Linked DNA regions of Caenorhabditis elegans. The protein of the gene in region 1 purifies or fractionates together with the protein of each later gene. This does not show direct contact. Each region holds a gene or a part of one and is shown on either strand. Other genes may lie near its edges.

Region 1 (3,789 bases):
ACTTTAAAAAATAGCTATTTAATTCAAAAGCTGTGGTGACCAAAAAAACGAACGGATAATCCAGATTTTTATTGTGAAACGAGGTCAATACGACTGCTTATTGATACCATATGTTTGAATATTTCTATTTAGAGAAACTTTTTTTTTAACTTTTGAGATATTTTTTTATTAATTTTCAAAAGTTGTTTTATTTTTGTATTCTATAAATATTTCATTTTAAGCTTTCGGGATTCAAACTTTTCAATTTAAAAACGTACCCTTGAAGCACAGCACAGAGCTGCAGCAGCCATTGCCCTTGGTCTGAAATGTCTTTTAGAAGTAATATTTTTGAAAATTCAAAAAAAAAACATCTGCAAAAATTAACTATCCACTGATTTTTCTCTATCCACACTAAACTGTTTCGCGCAAACACATTGATAGGCGAAGAGAATTAGAGAGAAAAAGAGAAAAAATCGGACAAAATCTTTTGGGTCGAACAAATGGGCGGAGCCTACTCGGGTGGGAGCGAAGAAAGAGGGAGTGGTCAAACAAGACGGCAGAAATTAATGGGGTGGAAGAATGAATATAAGATGTTTTTAAAAGTGCATTTAAATCAAGAAAGTGTTGAAATTTATTCGAAGTCAAAAAAAATTAAATTGAAATTCATGAAAAGTTGAAAAGTAAATAATTGTTTAAAAAATGAAATGAATTCTGATGAATCATTGGTAGTAGAGCTCGAAATTGAATCCCTCGTGAATCTCGTAATCCATCAATGTGATATGATCCTTGTAAATGGTGTACCACTTTTTCAACACGATCTTTTCCCATCTGAAATTTAATTGATTTTTTTTTATTAAACAATAAAAAATGTATATTTCATCACCAAGAATGGCGGTCGAAATTTATGATCAAATTACAAAAAAATCAATTATTTAATAAAACACAGGGCTGGGAGGCAAGTTTTTTTTTGCAAAGTCGGAAATTTTTCGTTTTGCAATTGTTGTAAATTTTTAAATTTTTATTATAAATTCTGCAAAATTAAATGCACTATTTTAATGTCCTAGAACTATTTTGACATGCAAGTAAAATCTATGAAAATGTTATTAATGTTTTTTCTCATGTAAAATATCTTGGAAAACTTTGGGCAAATCGGCAAATTGCCGTTTTTCAAATTTTCAATTTGTTTCTAATATATAAAACATACGAAAATAACATATGCGAATAGCCGCATGAGATGGCAAAACACAGAAAAATTGTATTTTAAAACGCGATTTCCTAGCTCGAGATCATTTTAATAACGACTTTTTGTGCCATTTTTGATTTTTTTTAGTTTTTAAGTTCTTTTTTTCCTTTCAAACGTTTTAACTTCTAACTTCTAAAGTCTATAAAAAAGCTAAATTCTTTTTTTTTCAATATAATTGATTTTCAAGTTTAAGAATTCAGAAAAAAAGATTGTGGGATCATCAGTCAATTTCAAAAAGATTATCAAATTCAAAAAGGTAATTTTCAAATCTCACCGTGTTCCAGTTTGTGCAGCGATCAACTTCTTCAAATCTCCAATTGTATCTGATGGATTGCACTTGATTCGTACTTTTTTTCCGAGTCGATCGTTTACTGTGATTTCAATCATTTTTCCTGAAAGGTCAAACAATTATGTATAATTTAAAATATTCACAAATTTCTTAAGAAAATACATGTATTTTGCAAGAAAGCAATGAAAATTCGGTATAGAAAAACATTAATGCAATTGCGCAATAAATAAATATAACTATTTCGAATGTACGTAAAAACACACAACTCGACGCGCAAATGCAGACTTGCAATGTAATCAGTAAACTTAAAGGCGCATGCACCAATTATTTTTCAAGAACTCAATTCTCGCGGCGAGACTCAACCCTTTGAAACTTAAAATTAAAACTTACTTTTTTTATTTGAGCGTATTTAAAAACGAACTTTTTTAAACATAAACTGCTTAAATTTTGCTATTTTTTCCAAAAATTAATCTCGGAATTATAAAAAAGCGCAAGTATGGTAAAATCTGCAGTTTTTGAACATAGCGTTTCACACTTGCGAAAAACCTCTTCTGAATACGTTTATTGATTAATTCGTAGAGAAAGAATAATTTCCAGTTTATAATCAGCTCTATAAAACCTTTATTCGACGAAATACTTTGACGTATAAGCTTTTTCTTTGTAAATAGTATACAATACGTCGTCACAGAAAAAAAAGTGACGACTATAATTTTTTAATTGAAAATGGAGAATTCTACAGAATTGGTTAGAAATTGATGGGAGAGGGATATCACATCATAAAAGTAAGGGGCGGGACTTAGCGAAAGTTGGAATGATCAGAATTGTCAGAGATTAAAGAAAACGAAAAGTTTAGGCAGCGAACTGTCCGTGAAGTTTCTTCTGGAGAGTCAAGTTATGATGGAGCTCTGGCTTGATGTCGCAAACGAGTTGAAGGAGACGGACAATGACCTGAAATTAACGGATTTTATTGAGATATTATGCAACTTTCGAGAGTGTGAGCCAAAAATGTGTATGTGCCGTTTTACAATAACTATATTTTAATTTGGTGACAAATATAGAAATTCAATAAAATTATTTTAGAACATTTTATTTAAATTCGAGAAATTTTTTTTGAAAGTTCTCCAGTAAATATTTTGCAAAGTGCAAAAGATTTCCCAAAGTTGTGTGGAAATTTGTTCAAACTCACAGCTTGCTTGTTTCCAGCCACAGATTGCTTCATTCCACTGATTTGATCCTCAGTATCACGACGAATCTTGCTCTCAATATCTTCTTTGGTTCCCAAGTATTGTTGTTCAAATGCCTTGAACTCTGCCTCGCGTTGCTGAATAATTAGTTTTTTAAAATTTAAATTAAAATCAATATTTATTACCTGCTTGTACTTCTCCACCTCAGCTTGAGCCTCTTGCTTGGCCTGCTTCGTTCTCTGCAACTTTCTCTTACGAGCTTCGTTGATCTTCTCAGCGGCACGTTTCTCAGCGGCCAAAAGTTGCTGAATTCCCTGGGTTTGTGAGGCCATTTTAAGGTTTTCGGTACTGAAAATGATTTAATTATTTTCACAGGATTTCGTGATTATTCTTAAGATGTACATATAATAATTGGAAAAGAACCGAGTCAGCACAAGACAAGAAAAATCAATAAATTTTGAGAATTTATGCATAAAATTATAAGAAAAATGAATAAATACGAATAGAACTGAAACTAAAATATTGAAATAAAAATAACACATAAATTTTACATGAAAGATGGGCGATTTTTGAGGCAAATATCAAAGGGAAGTTTAGAAAGGGACTAAACCCGTTGAAAAAAGCGATTCTTGAGTAGAATATCACAGGAAGATGTGGAAAATGTGTGTAAATGATTTGAGATACTTCAGACAACTGTATATGATGACGATTTGACGACCGATAGCACACTCGGAACCTGCAAAGGGCGAAAATCAGTTGGCAAAAAGAGTCAGATTGTGGTCTTTGTTCAGAGATGTGCAAACACCGTCTCATTCAGAATTGCGGACAGGGCAAAATAGTTGACGCGCAAAGTTTTTATGCAATAGCCTCTTTCGATAAACTTTTCGCCAAAAATAAGGTGCCCGTTCTCGACATGCCAAATTTTTATTACATGCGTGTCCCTTTAAAGAGTACTGTAATTGCAGTTTTTCGTTTTTTTTTCTGTTAAAATTCATGGTTTTTGTCGATTTGCGCCAGTTAAAAAATTTTTATTAAAAAATATCAAAAATTCCGAAGCAAAGATAACTTAAAATTACAGTACTCTTTAAAGGCGC
Region 2 (8,215 bases), on another chromosome or scaffold:
AGGAATTCAAGGGGTACACCAGTATGACGGTTAAAGAAGGAACTATTGATGTGAAAAACTTAATGTTCTTTCGAAATTAAAGATAATAAGATTTTGAAAAAAGTTGGAAATTTTAATTTTATACGAAAACCTTCTGCTCAAGCTTTTCCTGCATTCCATTCAACAATCGCTTGCATTTTGCACGTCGATTTTTGAACCAGATCTGCAATTCGAATTCGATAACTAGTAATCAGTATTAATATAGAATATTACCTTCACATTGTGCTGACTAATATGCGGATAATTCTCTCGATAAGCGCAGTTGTTCAAGCATTGTGTGTACTGATCGATTTGCATCCATGTCGGGTGAGGATTCTCTTCGAACCATTTTTCGAGGACGGGTAGCTCGGTGAGTGGGTCGAACATCAGGCGTGAGCGAGCCGCTGAAAACACTAAAACGGAGATTATTTGCTTTATCGTTGAATTTTTTCAAACGTTCCGCGTCAGTGATTTTATCGAAAAATAGAAGTAAAATTCCACCTTAAAGTTTTCTTGTCGAAAAGATAGAGAATTTTTATGCAGTCATTTTTCATATGCATAGCAAACGCAATCTAAGAGCGTTTTAGAGATAGCAACCAATATAGGTTTTCAGACTGAGTATCATGAACATGGCCACCTTCTCGATAAGTTTGAGCCAGTACAAAATCCCTAGAATATTTCTCAAAATCAAGTTTGCAGTTGATTTTCTGTTTTATTTCTGTAAACACAATACCTAGCCTCATTTTTTTTTCCTCAGATCTCAGTGATCGTAATGGTTGTCTGTGCGAAATTCGACGCCCCACATTTCTCCCTTTGTTATGTGTCTTCGCGCACTTTGTGTATGTCTATGTGTGTTTGTGTGTGTGTGCTCGCTTCTAATTTATGAGTTCTTGGTTCAACCCATCTCCCTCTCTTTTCCGTTAGCCTGTCTGTTTTAAAGCTCTTTGTTGTACCTGATGAGTTGGCGTTTTGCATGGAGTTGGTGGATGATGAGTGGGTGCTGAATGCTCCGAGGTCGAGCCCGCTGAGAAGCTTTGGGGAGGTCGAGGACAATGATTCGCGCATTGAGTTTGCCATATCCGGGGAGGATGCAATTGAATCCTGTAGGAAATGTTGCTTGTTTTGGGATGAATAATTTTTAAAGGTGGACCATAATTGTGTCGAAAAATATTTTTAATTGGCGCTCAGCCGACGCTGACAGTTTGGAATAAATTCAGATTTTCGGCCGTAGTGTTAGGTCTTTATAACCTTATCGGTAATATTTAGCAATTTGGGAGATGTTATCTTTAATGTGAATCAGAATCGAAATAGCCGAAAATCCGTTTTTAGCGTGATTTTTCAAAGCTTTTCAGCACGAGCAACGCTAATCAACCTAACTATGGCACAAACAGTCAAACGTAACTTACAATTTCCGGTTCTGGTTTAATATTGATGGAAAACAAAGTATCTTGAATAGTTTCATCTGAATTGCTATGAATCTCATCATCGGCTGGAGATGGCGAGTCGGAGCCGCCGACAATCTTGGTTTCATCCAGTTTGTCGTAAAAATCAAATTTTTGACGTTGTTCTCCAAACAGGGACTGGAGCAAGTTGAGTTGGAATCCCGGGAGCAGCTGCGCCGCTGTCTGAGCTGACGAGACCTGCACTAGGTCTACTGGAGCTAAGGTACGGGAACTCGAGCGTTTTTGTGTGAACCAATTGCAAATCTGGAAATTCATTTGATTAATGGAGTAATATGTAGGCGCATTAAATTCACCTGTTGATAGCTGATCTTGGAATTGTTCTTTCTGAACGGACTCTGATTGAGCTGGCTTAAGTAATTGTTCATTTTTTGTTTAGATGGATTTGCATCGGATTTGAACCATTTATCAAGACGTGGAATTTCGTAAAGAGTGTTGAATCTTTGTACTTGTGTTGGGCTGAAATTAAATACATACATTATTATGTGTACTGAAAGTAATATGAAAGCAGGCGTTTATCTTTCTTGAGAGTGGAATGAAAAGAAAATCATGTAGCGTATTTCTTCTATTTGTATTGCACCCGACTACCTAACTTTGAAACGTTATATCTTAATTCATTTTAAAGAGTATAAATACACTTTAAAGATATACATATATTTTTAACTACGAATCTATAGAAAAATAACTGAAAAAATATTTTGTTAGTTAACAACTTCGAATAGCACAAACGATAACTGAGATATAAACAGTTAAAGTTGAACAATGTGGTACAATACAAATAGAGGAAATACGGTGTAATTACTCGTATACAAGTTTTTTGTAAGGATAGTTTTTAATCATTTTTTACTGACACTTTTTCTCCAATCACGACTCCATTCTGATAGTTATACTGGGTCCCCTTCTTCTTGTTTTTGCGCCCCCCCCCCCCCCCCGGGTAACAGTTTGGATATATCACTGTATGCACACAACGCATTCAATCTCCCTTTTTCTATTCTTTATTACTCTTTACAGAATGCGTCACCGCCGTCCTTTCCCATTTTGCCCTTTATTCTGCTGTTCCCATTCCCTCAGAGCAATATGTACATGTTTTGTATCCTCTCTTGTGTCTGTATGTCACAATAAGATTACTCACAACACAACTCAATTATTTGTACAGTTGGAAATTCGAAAATTTGGATGTGCTTCGATGACTGGAAAACTTGATTTCAGCTTTTTCTTTTTCCTTTTTTCTTCTCGTTGGAAGAAGGAGTTTCAATAAAGGAATATGTGGAAAACAACTGTCTCCATCACTTATAATTTGACTTCTTCCCTTTGTTGTCTCGGGAATGTAGATCAGCAGGCAGTGGCAGTTTCAGAGATGTTTTCACGGGTCAACAAGGGGCCAAAACCAGTCCTGATCTCTTAGCCTCCTTCTCTTGAGAAATTGAGAAAGACACAATGGCATGATGGAGGGCACTTAGAGAACGACCGAATTTGATCGTTTTGTCTTTTGTCTCGTTTTTTTTTTGAAATTAGCTATCTTCATCTCAGTCTAATACTGCTCTCTTATCCGGGCATCAACCGTACTGTCAACCGGCTTAGTGGAATTTATAGTTGAGTTACGAAATAAAACTTGAGTTTTGGTAATTGTTAAATTCTGACAAGCCACATATTTGGTGAATCGTCTCCTAAAAATTTTAGATTTTCAAAAATTTTTGAACTCAACCATTTTAAGTTGGCAAATAATAGAAGGCGTACGGTGTTTTATTATTTTAGCACTAAGAACAAGGAAAATTTTTGGTACTTGTGGATTATTTCACCTCATTTTGAAAAAATAAATTTTAACATTTTAAAATAAAACCGTGTGTAGTTTTTTATTTTTAGGCTTAGAAAAAAAAAAAAAAAAAAAAAAAAAAAAAAAAACGTTTTCTGCTACGCAAATGGGTAATAAAGTAAAAAAAATCAATTTTATATAACGATTTTACAGTTTCAAACAATTTTTTATAGATTAAACTTGTCTTCAAAGCAATTCTTAGATACTTCGGTATAAACTAGTGTTTCTAACTTCATTCACGTATATCTTCATCACTTTGCCTTCCCCTTCCCATTGAACCCATCCCCTACTCTTTTCCAATCCCAAACAATCATCGTTTTCGCACATTGTGTGTGGGGGCTGTCACTAATAAGATGAATGGTGATGATGGGCACCAAAGAAAGAGCAAATGATACAATCTGCCGGCTTGTTAATCCCCGACGCCTATCCATTCTGATTGTTACGACACTTGAAAACAAAAGGCGGGTTTTTGATGAAGACAACCTCAGGAAATTGAAATTCTGACGGGGGGGGGGGGGGAGCTCCAATGAATCCTTGCGGTGGAAATTAAACGAAACTAACTATTTAAGTTAAGTCCTCTCTTTTCAGATGTGAATAAGAATGCACAGACGTGGAAAAGTATATTGTTTATATGATATCCGATAGGAATCGGTTTTACCTGATATCTAGAGACAGCAAAATTCCATCTCCTAAATTTCCCCAAAAATTTATAAACAAAATGGGTGCTCTCTCATAACTTTTCCTTCAACCACAATGTATACACAATCCTGCCTGCAGCTCAAAATTCCTAACCAATCCATAAAGTCTATTTCTACAAACAAGCCGAGAGGGGGCTTAACTCGAGCACCGAATAGCGGCTTAACTTGGCGCTACCCCCCGTGTCACTGCTCTCTGTCTTTTCTCTCAAACTCTGCCCCCCCCCCCCCTCTATTCACATCCAACACGCACAGCGGGATTACGGTGGCTGGTTGGCTGACTGGCTCGCAACTCATTGCATGGGCGGCGCTATCTTACCTTCTACGATCCTCGTTCGTTTCCAGCGTATCAAGCCATTCGTTGACTGCACCAATTTGTTCGGAATTCAAGAGTGTTTCATCTCCGGCAATGATTGTGTTGATGACATCCTGCAATTATCAGAATTGAAATTGAATTATTGAGAAAATAGCAGCTACCCACCTTAACCTGCTGATTATCCACATTTGTTAAAACATTGGGATTTTTGTTTACTGCAGCTTTCAGGAGTTTATTCTTCACCTCACTTATACATTGCACAGAATTTGAATCCGTAGATCTGAAAGAAAATCATGATGATGGTCATAAAATTGTGTGTGTGTATAGGCATATGTGTGCCCAGGGATAGGGCTATAAAAATCGAATTCGGTCCGTGAATGGTTTGTGCTTTCATTGGTCTCATAAAAATTGCGTCGCAGGACAAAGCGCTAAAGCTTTTGCGGTATTTGTGAGTGCCATGTTTGATAGCAAACTAAATGCCAAATATCAATAGAATATGAACGATATAAAGAAATGAAGGAAGCGACAATAATCCGCAAACAGATAGGATAAGTCATACGGGGATCTAGGTAAATAATTTTGTTGGTCCCCGGACCCTCCCGCTCCTTTGACTTTTGATGACTAGAAATGCGCCCCAAAATGTATCTTTTTTCAGCCACCGCCAATTTCAATGAGTTTTCCCCCTTTTTTCCTTCCATCACTTTTTCTCTCCTGTACACATGTCTGAATGTGTTTATATATATGTGTGTGTGTGCGAGGCGCGCATTGTACATACCTATGTTTGCCATTTTCTTTGAGTAGTTCTAAAGAGGATGTATAGGGGTTGTGAGGCGCGATTTTGCTCACCTTTACAGAATGAGCCCCCCGGAGCACACAAACCTCCCGATCGACAGTCGTCTGGTTGGAGCGGGATTGGATGGGATAGATGAGGTTATAGTGCGGAGTGAAACAAGAATACTTCAGGAAACACTTACGGTTTTGACAATATTTTTAGCACTACATGTGATGATATATCTTTGAAGAGGTTTTCCACAGTGTCATCTAAATTTTCAGTAATTTGATCGAATGGCAAGGGTTTCCAGTTGTTTACTTGTATGAGGCCTGAAATTTCTGAATTATCGATTTTCGGACAACAAATGCAAAATATTTTTTTAAAAAACCCTATGCAATTCCCTTCGTTTTCTTTCCGATTTCCCTTTCACATGATTGCATAATCTTTGGGAAAGTAGATACCAAGGAGGCAAAGCCGCCGAGAAAAGAACAGGTTCGACAGTCTGTTTCACTTTCTACTAAGGTGGAAGAAAACGTGAAAGTGAGAAAATGGGAGGAGGGCGCTGAAATCGCAGAAATACCGTTGATCTGGCAAGAGGCGCAGAACAAAACACATGAGTGGGTAGGGTCGTCTTAGCCAAAAAAAAGTGGGTGATCTCGGGGTAGGAGGAAGATGTATATCTTCTTACAGCATAGCGAAGTTGCGCAACCACGTTATGCTTCAATGAGATTGAATTGAAACTGAAAGTAGTTGTCAAGAAAAGGAGATCCCACTCAATACTCAATTACTTACTCGCCTAGAGTAGGGTAAATCTGTCAATCACAAGATAGATCTGTTATCCGTTTTTGGCGAATGAAAAAAAGGAACAAAAATGAAAGAAAAGAAGATAAGGAATGTGTACTACTAATACCAAAATAGTTTAGCTAGTCACGAGGTCTATGGCAATTTTCAAAATGTTTTCTCAACTAACCTCGAGCACTTGTCGACATGCTCGAATGTCCAAGAGCTGCTAGTACAGTTTCGACGAGTTGATTTAATGTAGTGGTCCCTGCGACAATTGCATAAGTGTCTGTGATCATGTGTCCTTCGTTTGAGCATGTCAAGCAATGTTGAGAGCGAACTGTTTCCACGATTACCCTCATTGGGAACATATCTAGCTGAATGAAACTTTATATTTGAAATTTTTAAAATAAAAATGAGAAATCGAGATAAACTAATAGCAGAAGAATCGAAAGAAGAGCCAGAAGATAGTTGGATAGATTTAGCTCTGCGCTCCGATTGGTGTGCGGACTTCCCGCCCACTTTTCATAGATATGGAGGAGGCGGGGCTTTCTATGATGCGGGGAAGATAGATAGAAAAAGAGCGAGTAAGAGAGAGAGAGAGAGCAAGAGCAAAAGAGATATGGTAGTTGTGGCTAGTTGGAGCAAATAAGGTGGAAAAGAAAGCGCGCACCTATTCAACCGTAATTGCGATGGAATAGAGCGGAGAGCAACAAAAATGGAAGAAAGGGAGATAGTGGGATTTGTTAAGGCGATTAATGAAAAAAGAACGGGAGACACCAAGTTTGGATAACAGATTTGCAGTCTGTCCAAGAGGGGGTTAGAAATCTTAAGACACAAATAAAAACAACGAATCAGGCGACATGTACTCATTCTTCTTACTTCTTACTCGCTACTGAAGACAAGTTGAAGATGAGAATGGATGGAAACGAAAACGAAAACAAGATTTGATATGGAAAATCTGAAAGAAGGCGACCACGTCGTCGCCAAGAAGAGATTGAAGACGACGAATGGAGCGAAAGTAGTAAGGAGGGGTTGAGGGGGGGGGAGGTCGGGATCGAGATGGCATAATGTAGGAACCGGATGGAAGAGTCTAAAAGAGGCAGAGAATGCGGAAGATGAGGAGAAATAGGTAGGTGAGGTAGAAAACAGTGGAAAAAAGAAAGATGGGGCTGGTTGCCAACCCTCCCCCATCTGTAGAAACGATCATGTACTACTAGTTCGAGAAAAGCCTCGGGTCGTTGTGGTATGGCATCGTCTTAGTCTTCGTCGTTGAGGGAGGAAAAAAGAAGAATCGAACAAAGACAATCCACTTGTTCAAGATTTTCTCTCTCTCTTCACTCTTCTACCCTATAACCCCGCCTTTCTCTTTTCCTCACCGTCAAATCGAAAATAACGACGCTACACATCGCATAAGGGGCGCATCAGAATTAGAATTGTCCCGATGTGTCAGCAGAGATAAAGGTTAAGTTACTTATAGAAATTTTAAGGATGCGCGTTTCGGGAGAGGAGGGGGTCTGCCAGTTATAGATAAGACAGTGGTTGGAATGCAAGTCACTATTTACTTAGGAGCTCCGAGTGGGTTTGGGATTATTGTCGATAAGATAATGTGTACACTTTTGATACTTCGCCACACCAAAACTCAAATCCGTTTCTAGAAATTTATCTAACAAGGTTTATTGTTAAAATTACTATGAGTCAAAAATCAACAATTGGTATAAAACGTGGTTTTGGAAATATCTAATTTTTCAGAATTTTTGCAAAACTCTGTGAGACTCATTGATTAATCATTGTATTCTACACTTGTATTATCTTGCTCCATCTCCACATAATCAGTTCTAACAAACGAATGTTTGTGCCCCTAAGCCTAGAGGATTTAGTTTAGGTGTCATCGTAGCGGCTAATTGAAACAATTGCAATCTGGAGCAATACTGAAGCAAGGAGAGGGGGTTCGAATAAGCCGGAAAGAGTAATCCCGGTTGCTTGAAGACACCAACCCCGCGGATGGGATTATACAAGAAGCATGAAGTAGAAGTATAGGGTAAATGAGACCCTTCTTACAAATTTGAAAGTCGAGAAGTTCTAGACTTCAAGGGGCAATGCAAAAAATCTCAGTTTTACATATATTACGTATCGTACGGTAACGCAAAAGAGAAGATTAAAGAGGAGGGGGGGGGGGGGGAAGTCAATTGAAATTCAGCGGCCTTATCATACGATATACATTATATGTTTACCAACTCAATGGACCGGACCGAATGGAGAAAGAGATGGTAGGGAATGGAATAATGTGATGGGTTATGGTGGGTGCTTGCCCCTTGTTATATGATATTCAGTATTTTTGAAAGAGGAATTATAAATATT

The links.
Region 2: the proteins of ubl-5 (region 1) and dve-1 purify together in Caenorhabditis elegans (affinity purification with western blotting, with the first as the bait; one study listed by BioGRID). This does not show direct contact.

Annotation. Positions count from the first base shown.
Region 1 is NC_003279.8:5,607,228-5,611,016, forward strand, and holds ubl-5 (Ubiquitin-like protein 5), read right to left. Parts: upstream 1,615-3,789; 5' UTR 1,610-1,614; coding exon 1,497-1,609; intron 808-1,496; coding exon 699-807; 3' UTR 599-698; downstream 1-598. Other genes in the region: tns-1 (Tensin homolog), read right to left, coding at 258-290; vha-10 (putative V-type proton ATPase subunit G), read right to left, coding at 2,361-2,459, 2,698-2,832, 2,881-3,027; trpp-8 (Trafficking protein particle complex subunit 8), read right to left, coding at 3,381-3,431.
Region 2 is NC_003284.9:427,569-435,783, forward strand, and holds the start of dve-1 (Homeobox protein dve-1), read right to left. Parts: upstream 6,232-8,215; 5' UTR 6,226-6,231; coding exon 6,045-6,225; intron 5,933-6,044; exon of another isoform or gene 5,404-5,932; coding exon 5,277-5,403; exon of another isoform or gene 4,583-5,276; coding exon 4,468-4,582; intron 4,416-4,467; coding exon 4,306-4,415; intron 1,938-4,305; coding exon 1,775-1,937; intron 1,725-1,774; coding exon 1,425-1,724; intron 1,120-1,424; coding exon 972-1,119; intron 432-971; coding exon 253-431; intron 203-252; coding exon 119-202; 3' UTR 1-118.